4 linked regions of the Alligator mississippiensis genome follow. The protein of the gene in region 1 purifies or fractionates together with the protein of each later gene. This does not show direct contact. Links are inferred from orthologs where the notes say so. Each region holds a gene or a part of one and is shown on either strand. Other genes may lie near its edges.

Region 1 (7,021 bases):
GTTTGTTCACTGGGTAGAACTATAACCCTAACTCATGTACACAATTCATACCACAGAAGAGGAACAAATTTTATTATAGCATCTTACTACAAATACAATGATATAACCACAAGCGTGGTCAGCTGTCTTGGAGCAAGTACAGGACACCTTTTGAAGTTAGCAAATTTTAAGTACAGGCAAATGAAGGTCTCAAAGTGTGTCTATATTGGTGAATTATGATGCCAAGCAGTGGGCCTATTTCCTCTGTGGTTTGTGGTGCCAAAAACCACGCACACAGTGAAGGTTAAAATGTGCCCTGAGCTGTAAATCTGCAGCAGAGGGACAAAAGTTTGCTACCAGGATTTCCCAGTAGCAAAAAAATAAATAAATAAATAAATAAAAAAGCAGCACCGGAAAAAAAGGGGTGTGACACGCGTTATAGCAGCATGCACTGGAACAAACAGAAGCTTGGCCCTTCAGGGAGATGCTTTGGCTGCTGGCTAGAGCATCTCCACTATTTTATTTGTGCCCCAGCTGGTCCAGCACACCAGGAGTCAGGAAGAGTTAGGAAAGAGCAGTTTGCCTGAAGCGGGACAATTTGTCCCTCACAAAGCACAGGTGTAAGGGTGTGCACCGTGGCACAGAGTAGCAGCACAATTTTGTGCCACTACTATTTGTGATGCTGCAAGTGCATGCCCTTGCTCATCTGGACATGACCCAAAGTTCAAAGCAGCATAACTGCCATAGCACAGTGTTGTGTCTCCATCAATAAGCTCTGCCTCCGAGATACTTATTAGCATATGCTCAGTGCCATGCTAAAGGTGGACAAATCCTGGTGGCATGCACAGAGCAAGCACGGCATCTCAATACAGTGCTACAACGGAATGGTACACACACTCAAATATACTCAGCTTGGTTAGACTGTTAGCTTTCAATTACACATCCCTAAAATATTAGGGAAAGGCGATGTGCATTACTATAGCAGTGTGGGAGAATCCAAGGAAACTAATGACGCATCTTATTTTGCACACCTCCCCTCCCCGCGCTGCAATCTATCCATTCTACCCATGAACTACTAAATTTAAGAAAATGGAGTAACACCACCAGGGACAGAAACAGGGACCAGAACCTATGGCACTTACCCCTCCATGGCAGTGCCCATCTCACTAAGCCAATGAGCAAAGCACCCTCTAACTAAGGCTAGAAATAGATGTTGCCAAATGAAGCAGATTGCCTGTGCTGGGATGTGTCCACAAGTGGCACAAAACATCTCTTCCATAGCTAGATTTGGATGTATAAGCAACAATTAGTTATCTTTGGGCAAAACAGGATTTGACTCAGCGACCTCTTCAATTCAGTTATGAAATAACTTTGAAAATATTGAAAGGACAACATTTTTAATGAGACGTATGGAATGCTGCAGAACTGAAGAGGAAGTGAAGAATAGAAGAGCAGCCCCCATAAATGCAGGGATTCCAGTTAGAGTGATGCTTGTCTAGGTATATGCATGTCATATTATGAATGTACCAAAAGAGGCATATTATCTATTAAGGACTCTACTAGGGTATTGACATGCCACAGTTCCTATGGCATTTAGAAAAAGGGAACTAAATGCTGAATACGAAAGCAGACTATCTGACAGGGTAGGCAAAGAATTCTCCAATGCTCATTTAATAAGAGGCCCAATTAAAAAAGTCCCTGTACTCAGCTGAATTAGTATTACATTACAAGGTAAATACTACTTCTTTGGACCCGAAAAGACGGATAAAAATTAAATACTTAAATGCCCCCTTATCTTAAATCCTAAGCTCAACCTGGTGCTTACATCAGTATCAACCCACTGTCTGACATCCATAGGGGCTGCAGTCATATCATCCACTTTGTAGAGAATGTTTGTCGGTGCTTTCTCTGCCTGTCTGATGAGCCCCATGATAAGGACCTAGAAGAGATGCAGACAAAAAAGTTACTTTGTGATGTAGGTTCCTGTCGATTCTGAAGCTTTTCCCATTCCAGATCCGATTCCTACCTGTGAAATCTCTACATCTCGGACCTGGAACGTTTCATCCACCTGCTGAGCAGAAAACAACTGAGACACTGTACACGGCACGATGTTCTGGGACCGGGACTTCTGCAAGAGGGAATGGAGAGTCTCAGAGAAACAAAACCATTAAAAAAAAAAAGAGTCTGGAAGGGTTCTCAAGGGTCATTTGGTCCAACCCCCTCCTCAAAGCTGTCAAACCCTACCAACGCCGTCCCAGACAAGCGCTGTGTCCGACCTGCGCTCGAGAGCTGCCAGGAACAGGGCTCGCACCTCTCTAGATTTCCTGGTGCTTGATGACCGCTCGCAAGATCTTCCTCACGCTTCGAATCACATTTTGATCTTTGCATGCAGAGAAACAGCCACCCAGACCAGCCCACGCACCGACCTCTCCTGTCATGCAACATGTACTTGGCACGGGCGCTACAGGCACCGCTACCACATGAGCAAAACCCCGGTCGTCTTCCGACAAAAATCCGCGTAAGGCAAGAACGCTTTTCCAGTGAGTTTACGCTCCGCACGGCTCCCAGTTAGGTCTGAAACCTGCTAGTAGCAACGGCAGCATTAAGGAGCATTCAAATGCTCAGCCTTCTGCCTGCAGCACAGGCCAAGGCCGCAGGCAGCTGCCAGACATGCCCGGGGAGCGGGGGGCCCATGCCCGGGCACGCGCGGGGGCACGTACCGGTCTCTTGTCCTGGGTGGCGGCCGGGGAGCCGAAGCCGCCCGGGGACTGCACGTATCCTCCGCCCGCCGACAGCCCGCCGCCGCTCTCGGACCCTGCTGGAAGGAGCGCAGCACCGCGTTACCCCGGACCCGGACCCGGACCCGCACCCGCACCAGTCCCGCCCCCCTGGCCCCGCACCCCGGCCCAGCTGCGCTCACCGTGGCTCGTCCACATGGCGGACAACAGCGCAGCGCCGCGCGGCCCGCAGCTCCCGCCGGCGCGCCGCACGCAGCCACCCAATCAGCGAGCGCGCCGCTCCCGCTCCGCCAACGTGCCGGCCAATCAGCTCCCACGGCGCTGACCTCCCAGCTATGTCCGGGTTCAAACCGGAAGTGTGACATCACAGGGGTAGAACGGTGACTTCCGCGTGGGGGCGGGGCCGCTCCGAACCCTGCTCACCTGTGGCGCTGGGGGCGGGGCGGGGCGGGGCGGGGCTGGTGCTGCGTGGGGCCGCGCCGCTGCATGCTTGGATCGGTCTTCTCGGGTCCTGGGCCGTCCTCTAGTCTTTGCAGCGGTAGAGGTTGTGAGCAACGAAGTAGGGGGGCTGCGCAGTTGGGGTTTTATCAGAAAGTCGAATTGACTAATAAAGATGTAAAATGTAATGCATCAAGTACAAACCCTCGAATAAAGGGCTGGGATTATGGGGCAAAATACTTCGAATCAACTCGAGCCACAGGGCTCTGCAGCTAGGGGACACGTCTCAATAACTGACCAGGGCAGTGCCCGACCCACGGCTCAGGGTTTGCGAGCCAGCCTGCCTGCTGGTGGCCACTGAAGAGCTGTGCTAATACGGTGTTTTCAGCTATCTTCCATGTTGGGCTATTGGATGGAATGTTACGCATTGATAAGGATGATTTATTTTGCAATTAATACCAGATCTGCCTGAATCCAAGATGGTTTTGAATGTAGGATGCTTTAACCCCGAGTAAGCCAATTCCATATGTGGAAATTTAGAACATATCATCATTCTATAACTGGCTGTCATTTCCCATGTATAGAATCTGATTACTGGAGGGTTGTTTTAAATCTGTCCTCAGCTATGGAGGGGGAGAGGCACGGAGCCTGCCCCTGCACCTTGCTCCCCTGCCACTTGACCCCCGTGCCCGCACCCCTGCCACCTGTCCCCTGATCCACAACTCACCACTGGGCCCTAGTCACCTGACCCCCGCCAATTCCCAACCCACCCTGCCGCCTGATCCCCGTCACATGCTGTTCTCCACCTCTGCCGCTGCCCAGGCCCCAAGATCTGCTGCCTCCTAATCCCAAAGCGCACTACTGCCCAGTACCCTACCCACTTCCCCATGTGTACGGCTGCTCCTACCCATGACACCTGCTGCTTCCCAACGCCCCCATGCGTTCTGTTGCCCAGTTCCCAACACATGCTGCTTCTGGCCGATCATATGCACATGCTGATGCCCGATCCACCCACACAGCTGCCCCATTCCTCAGCTGATCTTCATGTGCGCTGCTCATGAAAGCTGCTGCCCCATCCCCTGCCTGATCCCTGACCTGTACTATTGCCCAGTCCTTGACATAGCTGGAGACAGAGTGCTGGTACTCAGATCCAAGATGAGGCATGTTTTTCCCCATGTTGAATGAGGGGAAAAAACTTGTCTTGGATTCAAGTAAATACAGAAAGAAATTACATTTGGAAAAATTGGTGTGGGTTTATATACAAATCATATATTTCCATGAGAAAAAAAGGAAGGAAAGAAAATTTATAATATTTGCTTCACTGTCAGAAAGCAATTTACATAACTGTGCTTTATTTTACTTAACTAATATACAGGCACAAAGTAGGAAAAAAGATCTGCGAAACTAATAACCTCACCCGTTCATGGTGAAAAGACATGACAGGTGCTTACCTCAAAATCTTCATAATGGCCTATAGCTCTGTCTTAGAAGACTGTTGCATGTTTAATATGAAAAACCGAAGAAGAAAAACCAAAGTGTAATTTTTAATATGGTTTAAACCAGAACCAAGAAGTCAAATAATGTTGCAAGTAATTCAAGTAGGTTCCATGTTCATAGTGATATGTATTAAAAAATTCATAGTTGCATATACACGTATCTCTGATTATATTCGTCACATTTGACTAAGGTTATGTTCCATACTGACAACTTTGTCTATCCCTTATCAGCGTACCCCTCATTAATATGCAGAGAGGATGCCCGTCAAACCAGCAGCCTGGAGGAGTAACAGAAACCCCAGCAGAGTGGCAGAGACCCCTGGCAGTGATGGAGCTCCCTGGCGGAGTGATGGAGAACCCTGGAGGTGGCATCCACAGCAGTGCTGCCTAGCATTGCACCCTAACACCTCTCTCCAGCATCAGAGCGCAAGTAACTCCTGTGCGGGCCTCCCTATCTAGCCCTTGATACTTTGGCTGGCATATGTAGTAGAGCCTCAGGAGAAGCATGGCAGGGCCTTTGGTGGGGATCTCCCTACCCAGCACTTACTACTAAGCTGGTGCAGGTGGTAGAGTCCCTGGATGGCAGCCCCGGGTGAGACTGTCTTCCCCAGGGACGGCTAGGTGGTAGCTCCCCAGGTTGGGTTGTCAAGACTATGACTGATCAATACTGAACTACAGTTAAAGGTTAATCGTTAAGGTATTGCTCCCCTTTTCCCTTGTAATAAATCTGTTTTAATTTAAATTTGCTTACGAGTGGGCAGGTTTGTTTACATTATAACACCAAGTTCAAAGTTATTTAACCAAGTTTCTGGGTGGGGGCTCAAGGTAAATTTGAAAAGTTGGTGTAAAACCCCTATATTTGTATGCAGCTATTCTTAATTCCATCTAGTGCCTGGCAAAACAGCAACATATGGGCCTTACCCCCCCTCCCCCCACACACAATGGCAAAGACATGTGGTTTTGGGTGACCCAAAAAAGGATTTCCATACATAATCCCAGGCCTGGGGGCCTGCTATTAAGGAGCCAAGCTTCAGGTTGGGCAGGGTCCTGCCCAGCATCTTTGAGAGAGTCCCCTGATGTTGGAGAGGTGTGTTTTGGGGTGACCCAAAAAGGATTTTCACTCATAATCCTAGCCCAAACCCAGCTCCTTCTTGAAGCCTGAGGGGCTGTCAGTAGTCAGCCCAGCACGCAGATACCAATCTTTAGGTTGGGCAGTGTGCAACTCAGACTTATTAGAAGTGTACCGTGATTGACGAGACATGTGATTTGGGGTAACCCAGAAAGGATTTTGGCCCATAATCCCAGTGTAATCTCAGTTCTTTTTTCAAGGCTATGTCCTTGATACATGATATTATTTTACATTTTAATTAGTAAATATTTATTTTTGATTAAATCCTAGCTCTTCAGTTTGTATAATTCATTAGTAACAACTTTTAATTGTGTAAGGATTAGTTTTGTAAAAGGAACTGGGAAGAAGGAACTGGTAATAAAGAAACAACTTCAGACTCATTGGGTCGGACTGGGCTGGGCTGCAAGAACAGGTCAGTCCACAGGAGTTATCAAAATGGAAGAGTTATTAAAATTCACTTGAGAGATCCAAGGAAGAGGGCCATGCCCTTTGCTACAGAGGAAGGCAAACCCCACTTAGGTCGTACCAATTTGACCATGGGGTAAAAGTCCTCCCTGTTTTCAAATGTGGTGAGATCCTGAGAAGAATGGCAAGACCCCTCTAGCCAGGAACCTCCAAGTTTTAGTCCCAGAAGGAACACTGGTGGGCTATTAAAATCCCCAGCCCTGGCTGCAGCCAACACCAATGCTTCTGCAGAAGACATAAAAAGAAAAAAAAATCTCATACGACTAGCACAGGTGGGAAAAAATTCCTTTCTGGCCCACTGTGGCAACCAGTAAAGACTAGAAGCATGGTAAAATCCTATTACCATCCATCCTAATACCATCCATTCTGCTCCATAACCTTCTCCAGTTGCTGAGCATTGTCCTCTTCAATTTCCAACTGCTCTGGGATGCACAGCTTTTCTCATGATCCCTGACATCTTGTGTGGAAGGGCTCCTGGGTTTCCAACTGTTGTTATTTACAGAACACATATAGCTATACCTAGATCATCCCAGAGCAATGCTTATCCAACCCCTTCTTGAAAACCTCCAGTGATGGAGATTCCACAGCTTCCCCAGACAGTGCCTTATTGTTCTCACAGTGACGAAGTTTCCCATGATATCCAATCTAAATCTACTTTGCTGCAACCTCAAGCCATTAATCCACATCCTGCTCTCTGCAACAAGAGAGAAGAGGTGCTCTTCCTTTTCTTTATGGCAGCCCTTCAGACATTTTAAGATTGACATCATGTCCCCTCT
Region 2 (7,969 bases), on another chromosome or scaffold:
ATTGGTGGACTAATTATTTGTTTCATAAAATCCAAACAAGAAAAGCAGCAAATCACGTGCTTTCTATGACAAAAAAAGTTACTACTTAATTCATTTTGCATTTATTTAAAATAAAAAATAGAATTTGCTAGTAACATGAATTCAACAGAGTGTGTTGAATATGTGCCTTAAGGCACATACTACCTGTACATTAATAAAAGTAAACTCTTAAGAACAAGTCAGCGGAGGGATCTTATTTTTCCCATCAAGCATAATATGATGTTTAACTTAACTATAGAAGATTGCAATTGTTACCAGACACCTTAAATTATAAAACAGACTTAAATAGACTTAAAATATCTACTCTTCAGTCCCAGATATTTCAACGATCCAGGAAAGGAACAACTCATTTTTCATAAACGAGTTTCTGGCCTTCATGTTCGAAGATATAATACAGATGTCATGGAAACAACAAAGAAAAAATGAGTTTGTTCTTTACTCATCATCCTCTGTTAAGCATGCCAGGAGATTCCTTATCATAACTCCAAATATATATTTTTTTGGTATTAGAAATACATTTCTAATAATAAAAGCTTGTCTATCTTGTATTTACCAAATATCTCTGAAGAACCAGAAGGCCAGAGTAGGATTCTGCTCAAGCTTTAATAAGGGAGAAAGCACCAACATTGAAAAAAGTTTTTCTATAACTTTTTGGCATCCCACTGAGTTTTTAAAACAAACAACAGTTTTAGCGCAGGGACAAGAATGTGCTTTCTTTTATCAATTGTTCAGTTTCACTCTGAGTACATCTTCAGACATGTAAGAACTGAGGGACATTGGTACAGGAATATGACGACAAATGACACTAAATGCAAGCAAGAGCTCTTAAGAGTCAGTAAGCCAAGCCTGTGGCTTCCCTTGGAAAATGAGTCTTAGATTCCGCAGCAAAGCTGTGCAGCACTCTAGAAATCCTGCAGGAGTTTCTTCCAGGTTTAACAAGTATGTTATTAAATTAATGGGGCCAGTAGAGACATGCCTAGTATTATTTATGGAGCTATATTACTCTATATACCTTCATATTTTCAGTGTTTCACATGTTAAAAGGATACATATAACTGCACTTTGAAATCAGTCAAGGGTGACACAATGAGAGAACCTAGTTCTACCTGACACACAATTCCTATTCACCAATGCAGAGGCAGTTAGCTTGTTAATCTGAAGCTGTCAGAAGGAAGGGCAGGAGGGTACCTTCCGTACTCCATGTTCATAGCATCTCTGAACCAGTCAGCAAGTAAGGTAGTAGTTACAACACTTTTTTGAGTGTGGTGGCACCCCTGGATGAAAGCCACTCTTGCTGCTGCCTCGCCTTCCCTCAGTGCTTCTAAACTGAGTGCAGTTGCTTCCAAGTCAAAATGCCCCACACGCCTGCTGTACAGCCAGCCCAGAATGTGCACACTCCTCCTGCTCTCTAGTAACCCTAAAGCTAGCTTGGGGCGCAGCTTTTCCTGGTCTGCCCCCTACCCTTGCTCCTCCTGACATCAATGATGCACCAGTGCAACTGTCCCTGTTTCTAGGAGGGGAGTGGAGAAAATGCAAATTAAAAGAGTTATGGAGAGGTTCCTTGACTCTTTAAAGTTGCATAAGTGCTGCATTAGAGGCTGGCTGGTTCTGAGAGGCATGAGCTTTCCTTGCTAACACGTGACTTCCTCAGAAGCTACAAAAGGATGTAGTACATAGTAGTGATGAAAGTTCCCCCTTCCGCACCTTCGGCCTGGCTTTGGGGGCAGATCCAGGGGAGAGTGCACAGATAAACTTGCACCCCTCTTTGATTCCTGCTCCACCCAGAATTTAAAACCAACACCCTGGCAGTGGCAACAGCATTTCTAGTCAGCTCGTGCAGAGGGAGTCATAGAAAATGAGGGCTGGAAGGGACCACAGGAGGTCATCTAGTGTAATCTCCAGCTCATAGCAAGACCTAACTCAATTGACTTCATGGCTCCTAATCTACCAAATCCCTGCTAAACTCTTTACTCCACAGGAGCTAGGGATTCTCTCTTCTGCTTACATGTCACTTTATATGAGACTGCACCTCACCGCCTGCACCCCCTTTCCAGAACTACAGCTCTGCTCGCACCTGGCTTTATCCAGCAGACAGCGGGAGCGTGCATGCCACAGCCCTGCACACGGGGCAGCTTCACTTGGCTGCCACCTCCGTGCACCTGAGGGGCATCACACAACACTCTATTGAAAACCACTTCTCGCAGTGCCTGCCCTGCCTCTGGCTCTCCCTATCCCAGGGAGGGGGTGAATCTCCATCCTTGGAGGTTTTTAAGACCCAGCTAGACAAAGCTGTGTCTGGGGTGATCTAGTTGGGGCTGGTCCTGCTTTCAGCAGGGGTTGGACTAGATGACTTCCTGAGGTTCCTGCCACCCATAACTTTCCATGATTACTATGCTAATCAGAGCCCTAGTAAGATACACAGACCCACGTGAGAGGCCTCCTAGCTCCTCCCGTGATGTCCCAAACCACTCTGTGGCATGAGCCCCCCACTTCACTGCAGGGCAGCTCCTGCTCTGGAGACCGCAGCGGGGAGCGGGGCTGGGTCCGGGCGTCACCCCCGGGCTGGGCCTCACCTGGAGCGGTGGCGAGCAGCAGGCGGCCGTGCCGGGCTTGCACGTGCGCCTCCAGCCCCGGGGCCGACGCCGCCGCCTCCCCGCAGAGGGGGCACGCGAGCGGGCTGGGCCCGGGCGCCGCCGTCGCAGCCCCCAGCGGGCGGGAGCTTTGCGGCCCCGGCTCGGGGTGCGCGGCGTCGATGTGGCGGCGCAGCTGGTCGTAGCCGCCGCCGCGGAAGCCGCAGAACGGGCAGGGCGGGCCGGGCCCCAGGTGCACCCGCGCCAGGTGGCTCCGCACCTCCGACTCCGACAACAACTCCTGCCCGCACACGTCGCACACCTGCATCCCTGAGGCGCGCAACCGGTTGCAAGGCTCGAGTAACGCCCAGACACTGAATTCCTTCCTGCTTCCGCTTTTGTGGCAGCAGGGCGCATGCGCGCGCGGTCAAAGCGCCTGCTTCCACAGTACTGCGCGCGGTGCATGACGGGAATTGTGGTTTTGTGTTGGGCTGTCGGCTCTGGCCGCTGCTGCGTCACTCGCGGCGCGCGGGGCCTGTTGGGAGGAAAGGCGGGGCTCGCAAGGCGGGCGGGGTTGCCATCTTGGATTGCGAGACGTCGCGGGCGGCGGCCTTTGGGGCCTCTCCCTCCGGCACCGCCTCCATGGGTGAGAGCAGCGGGGCGGGCGCTGGTGGGGCTCGGCAAGGGGCGCGGAGCGCGGCCCTGCGGGCTAGGGCCGACCGCCGCCTGCCCGCGCCTCTGCGGGGCGGCCTGGGCTGTCCGGGGGGAGGGGGAGCCGGCCCTGAAGGGCAGCCTTGCCAGGTCTTCAATATGAAATAATCGGTTGGGAAGTTCAAGTAGTCCTTTTTTCTGAAAAACGAGCGTACGCTGAGAAATATACATATAAGCATCCGAATAAGTGGTCTTTTTCTTTACTTTCTATTGCTGTCTGTAAGTTGTCAGCGAATGAGAGAGGACTGGGTCATCCAAGTGGAAGCATGCCTTTATTTGGAGGCCAGCAGTCCTAAGAAAGTGCTGACAGCAAGCCCAACACTCAATTAATTGACTCTCTGAGAGTGACTTGGGTTAATGAGCTGCCTCACAAATGATTGTACGCTTTGCACGTTTTTACTATCATTGGTCATACCAGATTTGAAATTATCCTACTAACATGATGATTGTCGTGCACCTGGTAACACTGGCCTGGGTTGGCTGTGGAGGGAGTCAGCTGTAGGGAAGGGGCTGCCCCCGGCGCTCAGTTCCTCCCTTTGGGAGGGCAAGCTGTGTGTTCGCAATCCGAAAGGAGGGTCCAGCTGCCTGGGAAGGTGCATGGTGGCTGCAGTCGTAGCAAGGTTTGCAAAGATTTGGCTGAATCTTACCCCATCTGGCAGCAGCGGCCCAGAGACCATAAGCTTTCCTGGTCTGCTCTGGTTACAGACCCTTCAGGCCAGCATTGTCAGGTCTTAATGTGAAATTATCAGCTTGGAAGCTCAAAATTATTGTATTTGCTGAAAAACTATTGCACACTGAAAAAATACTTTAAAACGTAAATAAGTACACAAATAAATTTTCTTATTTACTTCATATTGCTTACTCTAAGTCAGCAATGAGTGAGTGAGAACTGGGTCATCAAAGTTGAAGCATTTCTTTATTTCGAGGCAAGCCATCATAAGAAAGTGCTGACTGCAAACCCAGAAGTTGGTTAAGATTCCCTTAGAGTGACTTGGGTTTTGCATATTCTGCATCAATGAGCTACCTCAAAAAATATTGTAGATTTTAAACACTTTTACTGTTGTTGATCGTACATCGCACAACAGGTGAAATTATTGTTTAAATACAATAATTATCGAACACCTGGCAACACTGCTTCAGGCTGAAGGTACCAGCACCATAAAAGGAGCTGGGCATGGTGAGAGCTGAAGGGAGGGCACCAAATGCTATCATTCCCAGTTCACCTTGGTCTTGCCCTTGTTTCCAAGGTGCCATCAACATGACATCCTGTCAGAGAAGAGAGGCAAGCTACCATACTTGGGGGTGTGGTAGGTGATAATCAGTTTGGCAGGTTTCACTGTGAAAACTTCACGTAGACGTTGCCCATGTCAAGGTAACTTGCTTTTTCCAGCCTACTTTGTCCACAAGGAAGGTGCTGTCACATGGAGCTGGTTGAGTGCTCCTTAATTGTTTGTTTTACGTTGAGTACATTGTTTCCTAACCCAGGGTTTAGGAAATGTATCTGTTTAGGCAGCCTGTCTTTCAGAATGGAGTAGGTGCCATCCACTGTCAGAGGATGACAGTTTCTTGCCCTAGAGATTGTGCAGCTGCTTGTATCTCATAACATACAGACTTTTACGTAAAAGCATTGTTCTTTGTTATAGACACCATGGCAAGCCCAGGAAAAGATAATTATCGGATGAAAAGTTACAAGAACAATGCACTCAATCCTCAAGAAATGCGTAGACGAAGAGAAGAAGAAGGAATCCAGCTTCGGAAACAAAAAAGGGAAGAGCAAGTAGGTCTCTTACTCTGAAACATAGTAAACATGGTCTGTTAACTAAATAACTGAATATTTGTGAATGTAGATTGGCATCCACAAAGGGCGTTGAGATGCTTTTTGTTGTCTGGCCCTGGATTAAGGGGAAATGGGGGTGGCCATGCTCTATATGCAATTCATGGAGACATTAAACCACCCCTCAGTATGATCCAGAGGAGACAGGAGAGCAGAGAGGCCTAACGTATTGAATAGGAAACGCTGAACACAGGGTTGAGTCTTAGTCCACTAATTCATTGAGAGAGTGATTTACATTCCGTTTTAAAATATGTTTTAAATAATATTGACTAAAATAGCAAGACTTTAAAGAAGAGGATTTAGGGTTTTTTCTTGCATTTAAAAATGTGTCAAGTGTTCTGATTTAAAAAAGAATCATACAAGCTAAAGTATAGCATGAGTGAAGCCATTGCTGTTTGTCCCATTATGTACATTATGGGGATGTTTTGTGCATCTCCTTCAAAATTCATAATTTTTTTTTTGTAAGATCCCCATTTGCTTCAGTGATAGGAAAGGTGACTTGTTGATTACTTGTTGAAATTTACTTTTTTTCAAATTTACCAAAACATCTGTAGCTGCTTGTGGCACTGCATACTTTGAATGTTTACCTTAAATTTGGGTGGGAGGGGAGGGCATTTGGAAAACGTAATAACGTGAAACTTTATCTAGTTCTTCTTCATTTAGTTATTTAAACGCAGAAATGTTTCTCTCCCGGGAAATGAAGAATCTATGGTAGAAAGCCCTATCCAAGATCCTGATGTCAGTTCTACTGTACCTATTCCAGAGGTGAGTGTTTCAGAATTCCATTTGAAGTGTGCTTTCGAAGTACTGAAAACTGCAAAGATGTCATTTTTTGAATTTTTTTTTTAAAGGAAGAAGTTATTACAGCAGATATGGTGCAGATGATTTTCTCAGATGATCCTGATCAGCAGCTTACAGCAACCCAAAAATTTAGAAAACTGCTTTCAAAAGGTAAATCAGTGTTGTGTTGCTTTCTTTCTTCAAATTTGTTCATAAACATTATATCTTGAATTTATTACACTCTTCAAAAACAGAACTAACTAATGCTTCTAACTCTCATATCACATGAATGCCAAATTCGTTTGAACATAACAGTTAACATGCAAACCTTTATTATTCTAAAGTTAAGTCTTTTAGACAAAGGAAGAAAATCAAGGACATTTTGATTAGAGTATCAGAACAAATAGCTGCACACTTAGCAATCATTGCAGTACAGGCAACCCCTGCTTAGCACTCTTAATTGGTGCTGAACAAACTGAGTGTTAAGTGGAAACACACTAAGCGAAACCCATTTTCCTAGAGAAATTAATGTAAATAAATATAATTGGTTCTGCCGCTTCTTGCCGCCTGCCCACTGGCAGCTCCAGCACCACCTTGCCAGCCTGGGCCCTGTGCTCCAGCCGGCCCCCAAGCCTTGGCCCTGGGATCCTGTGTGGGTCCTGTGCTCCTGTAACCCCTGCCAGCACACCCCCCCGCCCGCCCTTTCTCACTGCTGCTGCTGCTCCTCTCCACCCATCGTCCGCTCCAGCACCACATGCCAGAGTGAACCCTGAGCTCCTGCCGTCCTGTCCTGGGCCTGGCCAGCCGTGGCCTTGGGGACTGATCCAGGCCCCGCGCTCATGCCCCCTGCCCGTCCCTTTACACCACCGCTGCTCCTCCCTGCCCGCTCCAATATCACATGCCAGAGTGGACCCTGTGCTTCTGCTGTCCTGCCCTGTGCCCCTGCTGGCACTCACCACTTCACTCAATGACACTGCCACCACTTCTCCCCACCCCTGCACTCAGCATTATAGCGAAACATGCTGAGCACTAAGTGAAACCAGGTAGGTATTTTAAATGAGCACTATAGCAAAACTGCGGTAAGTGAAGCTGCATTATGCAAGGGTTACCTATACTTAACTCTCAAGCAAGGTAGTGTTTACTTTTGTGAAAAATTTGATTCGGCTGCTAATATTAAAATGCACTTGCAGCTTTTGTTGAGGATTGTGACTGATGCATCTCATAGAATTATAGAGAAGTAGGTCTGGAAGGACCATCCAGAGCTTATCTAGTCCCTGCCTAAGCCAGAATCATCTCTATCCAAACCATCCCATACAGCTACAGAGTCAACTCTGACACAACCACAAGACATAACACCCTAACTTGCCACTGATAAAGCAGGGTGACCACAGCAATTGACATTCTGATGCTGCAAATGTTGTTAAACTATGCTTGAGAGATCCAATGATGTGGGCCATGGCCCACTTCCCCGCCCACTACAAAGCAAGGCAGACATCCCCAGTCTGTACCAATGAATTATTCCTTATCTGCTGTTTATGTGAAAACCCCTTATACAACTTACTGATTTCAGATGGAGCAGTGAAGCTATGTAGAGAAAGTTCTCTTAATATCTTTTAAAGAGTAATTTAAAGTATTGTCTATATCAGTAATAAACTAAAATTCAAACAAGTGCCCCATAGGCACAACTTTTAGATAACGTTTTAGACAGCGATAGCATTTGGAAACATTCCAGAAGGAGGTGGTGGTATGGTATTGGCACTACCATCTGAGTTTACAGACAGCACAGTAGCCAGGAGTACAGTTAGTCAAGTCTTGTGCATTTCATCCAATAATTCTGGATTTCATAGATTTCATAATTAGGGCTGGAATCGGACTTCAGAAGATCATCGAGTCCAGCCGCCTTCCCCGAGGGTAGGAAGTCAGCTAGGGTCAAAGGATCTCAGCAAGATAAGCGTCCAAATGCTTCTTAAAGGAGTCCGGAGTAGGTGCTTGCCCCATCTTTGGAGGGAGTCTATTTCAGGCCTTGGGGACTCAG
Region 3 (7,571 bases), on another chromosome or scaffold:
GCAGCTGAGCCCACAGTCTTCCAGTTTTCCCACGAGGATATCATGGGATACTAGATCAAAAGCCTTTTGGAAGTCTAGGTATATACCTTCTACCTTGTTTCCCATGTCCAGGTGGTGAGAGACCTGGTCATAGAAGGAGATGAGATTGGATTCATTGGATTCAAAGGCAAAAGTTACAGATGATGAAGCCATTGATAAAGAAAAGCTGCAAAACAGTGCCATCTTGTGTCAATTCTGTGTGAAACATTGAGCAGATTCTCTCAGATGGGAAATGAATTATTATTTTTTATTTATTGCAATGTTCTTATTTACTAAAATTTAAAAGTTAATAATAGGAAGGATTATGTTTGATTCACTTAACATGCTGATTTGGCTGCTTCTTTTAATCTCTACAAAACTCCACAATTTTTTTTTTATTGGCTTAAAGAATAAGGATGTTTTTCCTTTTCCACTATGAATTTAATTTTTTCAAATGAATCTGAATAAAAGCCTCAAAATATAGGCTGTAGTTTTCAGCCTGAGTAGGGACTTTGGCCAGGTACAAACATCACACTTTTACCATTATAAGGGCACTTTTACACATGGGGCGGGCATTGCTTTAATTACAGCAGCTTTAGTTAAAGCACCCCTGCCGCTGTTTTGAAGCACGGGGATGCTGATATATGAGATATGGGAGGCTGCTGGAGCACGGTAATTACCACACTGCAGCAGACTTAATTAATCGATTACAGTGTGTTGGAACGGCCTCTGCACTCCTGTACAGGTACCCAAAGTGACTGGAAATCAAACTATATTCATAACAGAGCAGAAGTTCAGCATGCATAGACTGGTGTAAAAATGATGGAACCAAGTCTAAAATTCTCCTCCCCCCTACCTCCCCCAAGAAAGGGTGCATCCTGTTCGTTACTGATTTAAACTATGCCATTTACAGAAAACTGCATAACTTTGATTGATTCCACTTTGGGCTCTTTGAATGTCTATACCTAGCCCTTGTATACACCGCAGCTTCAGCTGCTCCCATGCCTTTTTTCTCCAAAAAAGTGACAATAAAACTTCATTAAAAAACAAATGTGTGGGGAAATTACTTCTGATACTAAGGGTGAACCTAAACTGTTTGGCATCTGCTACATATTTTTGTATTCCCCTCTGTGTTTTTTATAGCTGTGCTGTTCATTCTGGATGAGAGAGCAGCTGCAATCCTGCCCTTATATTATTGATATATGGCAGTGATTATGATGATGTCTTGAGGCCTCAGTCAATTTTTTCCAAACTATACACATATATTAGAAATTCCCTGCCTTAGAAAGTTTACAGTTCGAAAGACAACAACGGGCTACAACGAACACAGGAAGGAAAGCATGGGGTAACAGTAAGATCATAAGCATTAGAGAAGGAGGGGGAAGGTAATTCTGTTTTACAGAAGATTTTGATATTTGGAGTTCTGATTTTCTCAGACTCAAAATGACAGCAAAATTTTTCACAGTCCTCTGCAAAATGGAATGGAGCAGCAGCTTTTGGAAGTCACATGGGTTTCTGACTCCAAAACAGACTGACTGATAGGCTGCCCTGAGCCTGTGAAGCTCTTGGGAAGTTCTGTGGCTCGGTCTATCTTGAGGACTACCTCGATATAGGAGGTGCTAAGAGGTTGAGAGTCATTTCCAGATTCTTGTTCCATGTCAAATTACCAGGTAAGGAATGTGAGCAGGCCATTTTTTGATGAAAGGCCGGCTGAAATTTGTTAACAAATGAACCATCTGTGTGGAATGCTTTGATTTCAATGAATTGATAAATCCCTATGGGAAATTGCTTTGTTAGAATTTTCATGACTAGTTCACAAGTAGCCTCCTGGTATCCCATCTGCTTGTAACTTTTTGTGCAGAAAAGCTGGGAAAAATGCCTTTTAGAATTTTTTTCTGTATGTGGGACCTAAAATGTGCTATGAACGAAGTGAAAATGCACTATGGTGTTCTCTACTTGTATACCCATTGGATAAGTGCATAATTTGCTTAACTATAATGAAGAATTGAAGTTATGTTAGATATTAAATGGTCAACAAACTTTTATGTATTAATTTCACTGTTTAGAATGCTTGCCAATTGTTAATCCGCACGTAAACCACTGGAAGATTTTATGGGTAAACAGTTGAAAAACAATTTTCTCTTTTGACACTGATTTTTATCTCTAGCTAGAAAGCAAAATAATTTTTGTTAGCTAGCAGGAAAGTTTATCATTGAAGACAATGTTATAAATCCTTTTCTAAGAGACCAATTATTATTTCACTGGATAGCATTCTTTTCCTTAAAACTTCATGAAAACATCCTTTGAGTTAGTTACTTGGTTCTTGAAATTAATTACATGCGTCTTTGAATGGTGGAGGTTTTTATAACATGGAAAGCAAAAAAAGCTTTAAAAAAAATCTATCCTGTTCTTTTTATGCATTAATTGTGTGTGGAGGAACAAAATATTGTTTTATTTTCCTTATCATGATTACAGTGATATCTGTTAGATTTGAATTACAGCTTAGTCAGTTACAGCTGTGGCAGAAGTTGTGGTCAGCATCAGATCAATTTCACTTATTGTGCAGCCCATAAAGAAACCATTTTTTCGAAGATTGCAATCCTGCAAGGAGAGAACTTTCAATTCTTTTTGAGAAGCAAGCTAGGGAGTGACCAGGGGTTCTATCCCTGGGCACCAGCTTGCGGGGGAGGGCACAAAAATAGCAGCCCCTGCCCTCCTACCTGCTGTGCCACCTGCCACAGCTTCCCCATGCACCACCATCCGAGGGCCAAGAACTGCCCAGTTACATTTCTGCCTTTTGATGATGCTGTTGGGGGTTCAGTGTAGTAAACACCTCCACGAAGTAAATCGCCATCACACAATATCCCCAGTATATAGAAAGAGTATGTGTTTAGCCCTCACTACACATTCAAGTAATGGTGCCATGAGATCTAACACAAGATCTACACAGTTGTGCCTCCTGCCATACCATGCATGCATGGCAGGAGACATGATTGTGGGATCACACATTAGATCTTGTTATTGCATGTGTTGGGGGAGCCTGATCCTGCACAGGTAAGAGGCAAGCTCCTGCAGCTGGGAGCCTCCTCACTTGAGGAGCTTCCACCTGTGGGGGCACCCTACACACCCTTGGGCCTGGGAGATCATTGCTGCTGTGATCCCCAAGGCTCAGGCATTGGCAATGAATAGGGGGTGCATGCAGGTGCACGTGTGCCCCCTGAGATTGGCAGTGCACGTCCTGAGAAAAGCACTGCTGACACTGCTGGCGGCGCCTGCTGGCGGCACCTGTGGGCGGTCACTGCTCAGCACCACCCTGCCACCCCTGCTGTTGACACCACAGCAGCCACCTGCAGGAGCTCCCTGCTTGCCGCTGCTGCCACTGCCTGCTGGCAGTCGCCGTGCCCTGCTCAGCCTCCAGAGGCATGCATCGTTCATGGGCTCAAGGATCCATAAAACCCCAGGCCTGGGGGACTGTGGCTGTTGGAGCTTTTATGGTGGGCATAATCAGCTGACAGGGCTCCAAGCTGCAGGGGACACCCTGCTACTTGTAAATTAAAGCTGGATAGCAACCAGCTGTAAAGTTAGTACACATTTTCAAGGTCTAACTTTATAGCTGTTTGGAGCTTTGTAGCAAGTACTTTGCACGTGCCCTGGAGGCTGGGGGGGGCATGGCGACTGCCCACAGGCAGCGGTGGTGGCGGCGGAGGCATGGTGAGTGCTGACCATTGGTCAGTGATCACATGCAGACGCTGCTGGTGATGGTGGTGGTGGGGGGTTAGTGAGTAGTGACCACCTGCAGGTGCCATGGCAGTGGCGGCGCTTCTTTCAGGGGGTGCACTGCCAATCTCAAGGGGTGGATGCACACCCGCATGCACCCTCTATGTCGCCAACGCTCAGAGTTGTGAAAAACTTAAAAAAAATGCGTTCACGTGACCTCAAACATCCTGTTTCTATGTTCATGCGACACAGGCGTGGCTCACAATGGCTGTGTGGCACGCCCAGCTGTGGGTAGCACCGAGCTGGCACTGCACATGAGAGTGCATTATATGACGCAGCCGGTCATGTATGTGTTAGGTATAACATCAGGGCTATAGGTTGTATCTGTGTTGTCTAAGGACGTAGACAAGGTTCTTTGGGTAAATCTGACGTAATTTATTCGACCAACTAAAATAGTTGGAAAAAATGATTTGCAAGCTCTTGGGGGAAAGCTTGCAAAGAATTTTTCCAACTTTTTCAGTTGGTCGAATAAATTATATCGTATTGACCCAAAGAACCGTGTCTGCCTCAGGCACGACACGCCATGTGGCCGCAAGGGCCGCGCCCGCCGCCAGCAGCAGCGCTACGACGACCCAGTGAAGAGCGATCCCTTCTTCACTCCATCCCGCAGGGCGAGGGGGGCGGGGCTAGTCTGAGGCCTCCGCGGGCGCCGGACCGGGTCCTTATAGGCCCTTTGAGAGCGCGCGGGCAAATGAGAGGAAGTCCCGCCCCCTCCCCATTGTCCTGTTCTCATTGGTCGAAATCCCTGGAGGCGCGGGCGGGGGTTGGTGTCGGCTGCTGTCACTCCGGTCAGTAGGGCCAAGCAGCCGGTGCGGGGCAGCGGGAGATTGCGGGTTGTGAGCGCTGGTGCCTTTCTCCGCCTCGGGGCCTGGATGTTCGCCAAGTGAGGCCCACGGCCGGCCGGGGGGCGGGCGGGACGGAGCCGCGGGTCTTTCGCGGGGGCGGGGCGAGCCTGGCGGGGCGGGGCTCCGGGTGCCTTGGCCCTGCCCTAGGGGGGGCCGGGCGCACTGAACTCTTCCGCCCTACGGGTTGATCCAGGGTGCGGGGTCGTGCGGGCTGGGCCTATGCTTCGGCCCCTGCACATGGCGAGCGGGGCCCGCGCCAGCCCTGGGAGCTGCGTCTCGCCTGGGCCCCATTGCGACCAGTTGTGCGGCGACGCAGCGCGCGGGCCTCGAGCCCCAGGCGCTGGGTGACGTGGCTCCGCGGCCGTACCTTTGATACCCGAAGGCAGGTGTCAGCGATCCCTGCACGGCACAAACCAGAGCCGGTGCAGACCAAGCCCCAGTAAAGCTGTAGCGCAGTGACAGGGACTGAGAGGCCCGCACGGAAATGGGCGCGCTGGGAGGCAGCTGCAGGACGGCCTGGCAAGTTCTTGCAGTGCAGGAGTGGCGCTGAAGGTGTGATGATGGTCCAGATAACATGGGAGGGGCCATGGGTTTCATGGGTGATGGTGTTTTATTGGGCCCAGTATGCAGTTGGTCCAGTAAAAGATAGCACCTACAAAAATCCTTGCCTCTTGCAGAGTCTCTTTGGCTGGTTAGCGGTTCCCACAAACAGCAAGAGACCTTTATTTCCACACCTGTCATACACGAGCACTTTAAAGCATAATCTTAGGATTCAAAAGATTCTGCTGGGCCAGGCTTCATTTGAAAGACTTGTAAGTAAGGTTGGAAACATGGTTCATGTTTCTTCATGCTTTCCAGCCTTGATGAAGGTGGGAGAATAAGAGGGCACTGACATTCAGGAGCAGTGTTCTGTGATAGCCAGTGCTCCTTTCTTTCCAGCCTCCTTTAGGAAATGAAGTGCAGGTGGTCTTGTGTCAATGTACAGTAATTATCTTTTTTAGGGGGGTCTCGTTTGCATATTAGAAAAGCATGTAAAAAATTAGGCTTGCCCCCCTCCTTTCAGAATATTGGGTGGGAAGACTTATTTTTGGAATGGCTCCACTCTTTTCTGTCCTCCTCCCCCTAGTTGCAGCAGGGAGAAGAATAGAGTAATTTTGTTTTCTTACAACTTTTCTGTGGTTGCTGTAAGAAAAGACATTATTTTCCCTGCTGTGGAAGAAGTTAGAGTTTTCTCCCTTTCCTTTCTGCCTCTGTCTGGAGACTTTCTTCCTTTATTCTTCTGGTGTTTCTATAAAGCAGACATAGAAAGAAAATGAAATCTTATCACCAGTTTCCTTCCATGTAATACATTCTAAAATGCAGATGTGGTACTGATGCCGTGGTCTTGTAGTCAGCTGAAAACTGCATCCTCTCAAGGAGCAGTGCCCAATTTTTTCATCCCATGGGCTGGATGGGCATGGGGTGGGGATGAGGGGGGACCTGATCCCATGTGCCAGATTTCTGGGTCTGCCAGGGGCTGCATAGGGCAGGCCCAGCCAGAGCCTCAAATGGGCTGTGTGGCAATGGCCTTGGCCTGAACCGGATGCGCAGGGCTAAGAAACCTGGCGGGGGGTGCCACTGCTCTCTTGCCAACAAATTTCATCAAGTTGCACATAACCCTGTGGGCTGGATGCCAGGGCTCCTTAGGCTGAATTTGGCCCACAGGCTGGGGATTGAGCACCCCTGCTTACAATCATCAGGAAAAATTACAGGTAATTTAGTCCTCTGATGTTCTTGAGGTGAGATGTAACTTACCTCAGCAGCAGTTTGAAACAGGTCAGGATCCTGTTATGTTGTCAAATCTCTTTTACTGTGTATTGTGTGAAACTGATGTAAAACTAATTTTATGTCTGACTTTCCTTTAAAGTAAGTATAAACTATGTGAAAATAGTGAGGTAAAACAATGTGAAACTGATTTTGTAAGTATAATTTTACTGTAAAAGGGTAGAACTAGAGATGCTTATAAAAGAAAAAATGGTAGTAATTAAAATATTCACACTTGTTTTAAAACAACGTTGCTCAGCCTCTTGGCCCCCCAGAGGCCAGACCAGTGGTGTGAGGCCAGTCCATTGGCCAGATTGGGCCCTGGGGCCAAGAGCTGCACCCTCTCTGTCCCATGTGCTGTGATTGGGTCCCTTGTACCTGGCATTATCCCTTGCATGCTGGGATTAGGACCCAAGTGTGTGGCACCGCTCTTTCTGCCTCGTGTGTCAGTACTGGGCCCAAGGACCTGGCACTGCGCCCTTCCAGCTCTGCCTGGGCTTCCCATGGGTTCAGAAATCTGGCAGCAGGCAGCCGGTTCCACTGCTTCTCCACTGTCAAATTTCCAGACCTTTAGGGATCCCCAAAGGCTAGATGACATGGGGCTTGCAGACTGGTTCTGTCCCATGGGCCAGGGGGTTGAGCCCCACTGTTTTAAAACATTATCAGGTAACTTTCATTGTGTCCTCTTGCAGAAACTATGGTTCATCTACAGGCTATGGAGGAAATAGGACTTATTCCTGTTCTTCTTCTGGTGATGTTGATTCTGCTCTTGGGTTTGAAGACTTTCTGTATACAGATGACACTTCAGGGACAGATGAGGATTTAGATTTGTTTGTCCTGTTTGGAAATCTGCGAGGAAATGTAGTTGGATTACGCTACTACACAGGAGTTGTAAGTACAGCGTGAATAGTACAATTGTATCATACTAAGTAGAGCCAGTTAAGAAAATGGAAGAAAAGCTATGGTAAACTGTGACAAAGGTTATGTTTTATGGTATAAAAGCTTTCCAGAATTGTCTTACTGTTCCTAATATTAACAGAAGTGGGGTTTCTTTCATTCATTTACTGTTATTCATGTATTTAAGTTTTGTCACAAATATGTTTGTGGCTACTCTTGTTCCTGATCCTG
Region 4 (7,036 bases), on another chromosome or scaffold:
GTTGTTCAATATGCCAACAAATGCTTAAGATTAATTCCCCATTCCTCAAATTACCTGATAAAGCAAGAAAACAGATTCAGTTTACAAAATGGTAGTTCAGCATATCACTTCAATTCAAATTGGTTGTTGTGACAGATGTGCACTTAACAGCTAATTCTGTACAACTACAATTCGGTTCTGTTCCTGCAGGACTATTGTCTCCAGTAAAGCCAATATGAGCCAGGTGACCTATTTACAGGGACATTCATTCAGTAGAAACTGACCAGGCCAGTGCTCTGCATGGGCTCATTCAGGATGGCAGACACAAGGGATTCATATTCAAATTCAATGGGAAGGAATACATTAGCAATCATGGGAAGGATCAAGTCTCCTCACAGGAAATGCAGTCCTGGTTCAGGCCACTTCTGCATCATGGACCTCTCCAGGTGAGATGTGTGCCTCCAGAACACGTTTGGCCCTTATTCTGTTCCATCAGAGGCATGAGTACCAATACTGGTCTCAGATCTCACTACTGAATTCTTGAGAGATGTCTGGCATTCTCTCTCATCAGTCTTGGAGCTATGTTCAAGCTTGACTTCACATCCTGTTTATAAGTAGACATATGAGCTGGCTTTACTGGCTGAGATCAATGGCAGTCAGCATAGAAACCAAATGCTGGATCTGCCAGCATGAAGTCTGTGTTGGGAATAACAGAGATTTCATTGCTAGTGGGGTAACTGGTGTCAACATTGGTGGCTGTGATAAAACCTTGAAGGAGTACTACAAAACACTGCTTTATCTGGCCTCGCTGTATCCAATACTATTACTGAGTCTGAAGTGACCCATATAGACTGCTGAAGAAGATCACACTTAAGCTGAGTATTCCTGGGCTTCCAGATCCTTTCAGAGAACAGACAGCAGTTACCCAGAATGCAATCCATACATAGACACAAGAGACACCAGATTAGTCCATCCTTGAAAGCAATCAGCCTGGGGAAGGGCAGGCTGGGTTTACATTTCCCTCTGAATGTGCGGCGGTTGGCACAAAGTACCTTGGTCTGCTGTAAAAGGGGTATTGCAGGATAGTGCTCAGCATCCCCTTAAGAAACATCCTTCAAAGAAATCTTACCTTTCCAATTTCATTCAAGTCCATTCATGGGCTCTGAAGACATGTTGGATACCTACTGAATTCTACCTCGTGTTCAAGACAGCAAAAGGAAGCTAAAAAAAGACTGCCTCTGCCTCACCCTTTTAGATCCTTATGTCGGAAGATGAGAAATGCAAAATGTACATTTAACCTGGTTGGACATTGCTATTCCAAAGAATTAGAAGTTGTGTGCATCTGATATGCACACATACAGAGGAATCCAAATTGGCATGTACTCACAGCAACCTAATTCTACAGTTATATTCTTTTTACTGACTACTCTTGAAATTCATGAATGACACTACATTTGGGGTCATTGGTAGTGTTTAGTAGAAAGGGAGAAAATTTAAAAGGACTCCAAGTTGTTTTAGAGATTTAAAATGTCATTAACACCAATAGTATCATTTCAAAACATTTGACAGAATTAAGGGCAAAAAACTAGGATCATCATCTTGGGACAACACAAGACACTAAACTGTGCTGTAAATTAGTTTTGTTACTTCCAATTAACACTATACACCAAAACTGAAAGAAATTCAATACATTTTTCACAATTTACTTTATGCTAGTGCTGTTTTCATATTGGGTACAAAAACAAGGAAAAAGATGCATCAATCAGACCTTCGTTTCATGCCCATCATAACAATATCTGGACACTTCAGAGTATGTACGCGAAGATTTCAGCGTTTCTTCTCCCACTGCTTCCATAGGAAACATGCACGTTTTGGTGGCGATTTTATTGTAGGACCCCTCAGTCAATGAGGTGAGATTAAATTTGACAATAAAGCTGTTAACAACAACTTTTCCATTTTAAGATCTGTGAAGTTAACCCATTGCTCCGTGGCAACAAGCGTTTTTCATAGTCTTCAATGCAAAGAAAAAAAAGGGCAAGCGATGCTGTAGGACCATACTTGAAGTACTTACCATCTTTAGCTTCTGATCTATGTCCAAGCTTAATCTAAAGAGAGATAGTAAATGCTGTGTTATCTACAAGAAGAACCACACACCTCAACTGTTTGTCTGAGCAAAGATGTTTCTCAAGGAAAAAGTGAGTTTCAGTGCTGTAAAAACCTCAACCGGTAATGTTTTTACAACCGCATGTGCAGCTTTTGGTATGTCTGGAAGCAACAGACATTGCACAGAAACAAAACTGATGATTATATTATTCTTTGCAACCAGGTTTATGCTCCCCCATGTGACCCACACGCTGTTGCACCTGCAACAAACACAGTTCCCCCGTGCCCGATTAAGTACCAGGCCCATCACAAGGGCTGCACCCTGAGCTGCAAGTCACCCCAGACCGACACAATCCCCTCAGCTGACTGGAAAGACCCGCGGCAGCATGTTGCTGTCCTGGGACAGTGGCCCCACGAGCCCCGCCGACTTCTGACGGATCCTACAGGGCAAGCAGGCGGCTCCCCCGTGGAGCCTGCTGCAGCCTGCCCCAGCTCCAGCCCCGAGGGGACACGCGGCGCAGGCCGCGGCCGGGCTGGGAGGGGCCCGGGAAGCAGCTGCACCGCGCTGCGGGCTACAGCCCCGCGGCCAGCCCGGGAGGGGGACGGCAGGGTACAACAGGACCCACCTTCTTGATGGCCACGATCCGGCCGCTGCTCTTGTCCCGCGCCTTGTACACGGTAGCGAACTAGGGCAGAAACACACAGCACGGTCGGTCACTCGGATCCCGCGGGGACAGACGACCGCCCCCGCCCCCACCCCCGGCCCGGCCCGGCCCGGCCCGGCCCACGTGCCCACCTGCCCCTCCCCGAGAAAGTCGAGTTTCTCATAGCGCTTGGCGCGCGCCCGCGCATCCATCGCCTCGGAGCGGGGCCGCGCGCGGAGGGGGATTTAAACCGTCGCAGCCGGCGCGGCGCGTCACTTCCGCTCGCAAACGGAAGTCCCACCCCCCTCCGAGGCGGCGACGGAAGTAGCGTGGCCCCTGGCCTTCCAGCAGGTTGCCTTTAGCAACCGTTGCTAGGCTGCCCCTGGCGCGAGGGAGGCCTAGCCGTGCCCGCGAAGGGACCTCGGAAGATCCTGGAGCCCAGCCCCCTGGTCTGGGCAGGAACGGAGCTGAGATCAAAGCACCCAGCAAGGTGCCTGTCCAGTCTCCCCTTGAAGACTTCCAGGGCTGGGGCCGGGACTGCACCCCCCCAGGCCCCCCGGATGTCTGCGCCAAGTTCGGGTCGCCCTTGCGGTGAAGAAGTTCCTCTGCTCACTCTTCAGGGTGCTCCGACCCCTGCTCTGAATCGGCCAAAGAAAGAGAAGCCCCTGAGCAGAGCCCACACTTGGGAATGGAGCTGCTTCCTCAGGTGGCCTTGAGCAAATCACTCCACCACCGTCTCTCAATTTCCTCTCTTATGCACTGGGATTATGTGTCCTGTGGCAGGGCACCCAATTCACCAGCGTGTTTAAAAATTGTTGAGACACTGCAGGAAATGCTCCTCGAGAAAGGTAAAGATTTACTAAAGCTGCATTGAAGGCCAGGCTGGAAATAATGCCAATCAAGTAATGTGCTGCAGGATAATGTTGAAGTTATTCTCCTCATCAGTCTGAGAAAATAGGGATTTATGAAAAATACAGTTTCCCGTAACACTGGGTCTTCAAGCAACCTATGAGGTTGAAGGGGGCAGTATTGTTTTAAGTATTAAGGCTGACTCACTTGCAAAAATGTGTACTTCCAAAGAGGATCCCAATCCCTACACATGGAAATAGATGGCAGTAAGACATATTTTTAAAATGCACTGCTTTGTCTGCCATCTATATTCAAGGACTCAGTGTTCATTGTTTTTAACGTGGATCAGTCTGACAAAGCAGCGGGTGCTGTGTCAGATAATCTAGAACTAACAGGACTGGACCTATTGACTATCCCCCAATGCAATCTTCAGAGCACAGACGGGAAGGTGCATGTGGGGGTGGAACTTCTGATTGCCACACAGTTTTAGCAGCCTCGGAAGAAGAAACTGAACCTAGTTTTTAGTTGGGTTAACGTTGTTAAGTGAGACCTGCTTTCTGAACAAGCAAATATCAGTGTGGAAGAGGTGCCATCTCCTGTTCCTACCCTAGTTATTTTAAATTGGCCAGAGAGGCCTTAACAGCTATAGCAGTCATTATTATTTAATCTCCCTTTTAACTAGGTAATGGTAAGCTTATTGAGCAAACAAGGAGAAAACCAGACCACTTGTCATCTTCAGTGGATTTGTCAAATATATTTTGACAACTCTTATAGCTGTCGGGCAGCGACTGCTGTTGTTCCCCTCCATCACCGTGGTAAGTTAGGTTTGTGTGACAAGATTGTGTAGTTTTAGTACTAAGTTAGACAAGGATTTGTATAGGACGTTTGGATGCAGGCAGGGGGGTGGACCAGAGGTCTCTTCCTGCCCTACTTTTCTATGGTTCTTCTTGAAACCAACACCATTAGCATCATGATGTCCTTGACCTCTACATTTTAGGGAAGTAAGAATCCAGTCTCAACGATAATTTTCTCCAAAAAGAATGGGCAGAAAAAGTTTAGAATTGGTTCTAAACATCATTAATTAACAAATGTTACTCCAACAATAAGCTGACAATCTCCTAATTCTGTTTCCACCTCATGGAGCAGCTACCAAAACAGCTGAGCGCAAGACTGAAAGCTCATTTTCCATTGCCATTACTCAGAAGTAAGAACATTAAGATTTGAACATTATTCATAGAAAATGCAGCCCTGCTCAATTTCCTTAGCAGGAAAAATTCTGAAGCTGGATTGCTGTCCGTGGAACAGCTACTAAAAAAAAAGCAACTATTGCTGAGCAGAAAAGTAGAATGGCTCATCAGAAAAAGTGCATTGGAATTGTGTAGGTATATAAAGTGTAGTCACACAGTCTTTAACACAAACTGGCCCAAACACAAATTAGCAGATAGAGTCTGAAGCATCAATCTTGTCACCCTTCATAAGGGGTCTTTATTAAAGCTATTAACATATAACTGTTTATAACAAATTGCAGAAGGAAAAGCCTTTACTGTGAATATAATTCATTCTTCAATGGAGGTGAAGAGACATCGTCTATGCTTACTCTGGACCTCCACGCTGTAAAAGAAAAAGTGGACAATTACAAACTTTATAGTAAAGGAAAGAAGCAGACACATACACAGCTGAGTTGTATTACTGGGTGGGGAGATATTTTCTTTAATTCAGACTTATTATAGAAGAAATAAAAGGTAAGATCATAGCTAAAGACAGAAAATGTCTACATCTTGACTTTTATAAAAGCTATAGTTTTCATATTAAAAGGTTTCTCCATAATTTGATGAAGAGCAAAAATGAATCCACTGTAGTACTATCCTGGTGAATAAGAATTTGAAAAAAGACAGTTATTTTACTTGTCCAAATTCAGAAGTATAAAATAGTAAAGTCAAACTATTTAATACTCTGTTCTACTGATGTTGGCTCTATTACAACTTACTATGTCTCCCTGTTAGAAATTTAAGTAGAGACATATCAGGAAGCCTCCTACTTAAAATTAGTTCCATCACTCTTAGCTCTATGTAAGAAATGTAATAACTTCTTCATTGGTATTTTTACTTTGCAAATGCCTGTCTTAACAAGCCTAAAGAAATGCAATTCTTTTATGGTGCAGACTGCAGTAAGAACTGAAACATTTTTAATGCCTTTAAAAGGTCCAGCTATACAAATGCACATGCCTTCTTCAATATTCCAAATGTGACTATGAATTGGGTACTATTTTGAAGCACTTCACTGCTGTTTAGGAAATGTGACAGGGGACCTCTGGGTCCTCCAGCATCTCTCAGCGCTCCATTTTTTGCCTCCATGCACAAACATAAAGGAGTGGGAGGAAGAGCAGGTAACTACAGCTATGTAGATCATAGCCCTCACCCCTACTGCCACCACTGGAGCCACACTTGGAAGCAGGCAAGATCTCACATTCCCTTGGCCGCTGTTGCCTCCTCTCTCCCAGTACTGGGAGCGGCAGTACCCAGTGTTCGGGTTCAGTGTGCTTGAGGTGTTCCTGGAGCCCCATCTACTCCCAGCACTGAAACCATAAAACTGCCAGTGTCCACTCCTGTGACTTTTGCATAGCAACCAAGCTGGCCAGGAGGTTGCTACCTGGTTAAAACTGAGCAAGCAACTACAAATTTTATCTGTGCATAAACACTGACAGTATAGGGAGGATGTGCAGAAATAGTGTGATAAGAAAGGTAAGTATGGATGTGTTTAAGCACATAAAGGTTTAGGAACATATCCAATAGTGAGACATAGGTTATATAGTCTGTAAATAGCTAATAGCAGTGCTAATAGCAGAAGTTGAAATAATAAATATGTAAGTAACATAAGATATAAAGAAAAATTGGGAACGAAAGGTCTTTGGATTACTGGACTACACCCTTAAACATCTCATTGAGACCCTGGACTGTCTGAGCAACAGGATAGGAAGCAAGACTTGCCTGCATGGTAACTAGTACATGTCTTAATATTAAAGTGTGTGCTAGCTCCTGAATAAACTTATGTTATTGGAGTGGAAATACTTGTGTAAAGCATTCTATACACAAAACAAGGGTTCTCTGATCCAAGATTTTGGGGTAACAACACTCTAGACACTCCCACACTTACTGGAGCCAGATTGGGGGGAGGGTCTGGCATCCCAGTTCTGACAGGCAAGGGGTACTCAGAGAGAACAGCCTCCCTGATCAGAGCAGTAATTTGGAAGTGCTCTGACTGGGGAGTCCTACAGAGATCACATGCAGTGTCCAGGATACTTTTTGAAACGTTTTGAAGTCTGTAACACTTGGAAACCTTTCAATTGTTACTTCTGTCTCCCTCTAGCTTTTAGTATTTTTGTTGTCTGGTAAGCTTCTGATCTGTGAATCTGGTAACACTGCTCAAAACTAAACAAAACAGCATGTACATTGGTAGTTCCT

What was found.
Region 2: the proteins of RPA2 (region 1) and ZUP1 purify together in Homo sapiens (affinity purification with western blotting; 3 studies listed by BioGRID, with this or other methods). This does not show direct contact. The link is inferred for Alligator mississippiensis from reciprocal best matches to the Homo sapiens genes RPA2 and ZUP1.
Region 3: the proteins of RPA2 (region 1) and HLTF purify together in Homo sapiens (affinity purification with mass spectrometry, with the first as the bait; 3 studies listed by BioGRID). This does not show direct contact. The link is inferred for Alligator mississippiensis from reciprocal best matches to the Homo sapiens genes RPA2 and HLTF.
Region 4: the proteins of RPA2 (region 1) and CDK7 purify together in Homo sapiens (affinity purification with mass spectrometry; 3 studies listed by BioGRID and IntAct, with this or other methods). This does not show direct contact. The link is inferred for Alligator mississippiensis from reciprocal best matches to the Homo sapiens genes RPA2 and CDK7.

Annotation. Positions count from the first base shown.
Region 1 is NC_081829.1:16,844,671-16,851,691, forward strand, and holds the start of RPA2 (replication protein A 32 kDa subunit), read right to left. Parts: upstream 3,005-7,021; 5' UTR 2,916-3,004; coding exon 2,900-2,915; intron 2,798-2,899; coding exon 2,700-2,797; intron 2,108-2,699; coding exon 2,006-2,107; intron 1,919-2,005; coding exon 1,805-1,918; intron 1-1,804. UniProt on the Homo sapiens protein: As part of the heterotrimeric replication protein A complex (RPA/RP-A), binds and stabilizes single-stranded DNA intermediates that form during DNA replication or upon DNA stress.
Region 2 is NC_081824.1:101,709,666-101,717,634, forward strand, and holds the start of ZUP1 (zinc finger-containing ubiquitin peptidase 1), read right to left. Parts: upstream 3,010-7,969; 5' UTR 2,938-3,009; coding exon 2,613-2,937; intron 1-2,612. Other genes in the region: KPNA5 (importin subunit alpha-6), read left to right, coding at 3,252-3,255, 4,964-5,097, 5,818-5,919, 6,006-6,105. UniProt on the Homo sapiens protein: Deubiquitinase with endodeubiquitinase activity that specifically interacts with and cleaves 'Lys-63'-linked long polyubiquitin chains. Shows only weak activity against 'Lys-11' and 'Lys-48'-linked chains.
Region 3 is NC_081830.1:61,038,444-61,046,014, reverse strand, and holds the start of HLTF (helicase-like transcription factor), read left to right. Parts: upstream 1-4,569; 5' UTR 4,570-4,667; coding exon 4,668-4,678; intron 4,679-7,135; coding exon 7,136-7,334; intron 7,335-7,571. UniProt on the Homo sapiens protein: Has both helicase and E3 ubiquitin ligase activities. Possesses intrinsic ATP-dependent nucleosome-remodeling activity; This activity may be required for transcriptional activation or repression of specific target promoters.
Region 4 is NC_081826.1:258,225,230-258,232,265, forward strand, and holds the start of CDK7 (cyclin-dependent kinase 7), read right to left. Parts: upstream 3,014-7,036; 5' UTR 2,939-3,013; coding exon 2,879-2,938; intron 2,769-2,878; coding exon 2,709-2,768; intron 2,085-2,708; coding exon 2,051-2,084; intron 1-2,050. Other genes in the region: MRPS36 (alpha-ketoglutarate dehydrogenase component 4), read right to left, coding at 5,169-5,186. UniProt on the Homo sapiens protein: Serine/threonine kinase involved in cell cycle control and in RNA polymerase II-mediated RNA transcription. Cyclin-dependent kinases (CDKs) are activated by the binding to a cyclin and mediate the progression through the cell cycle.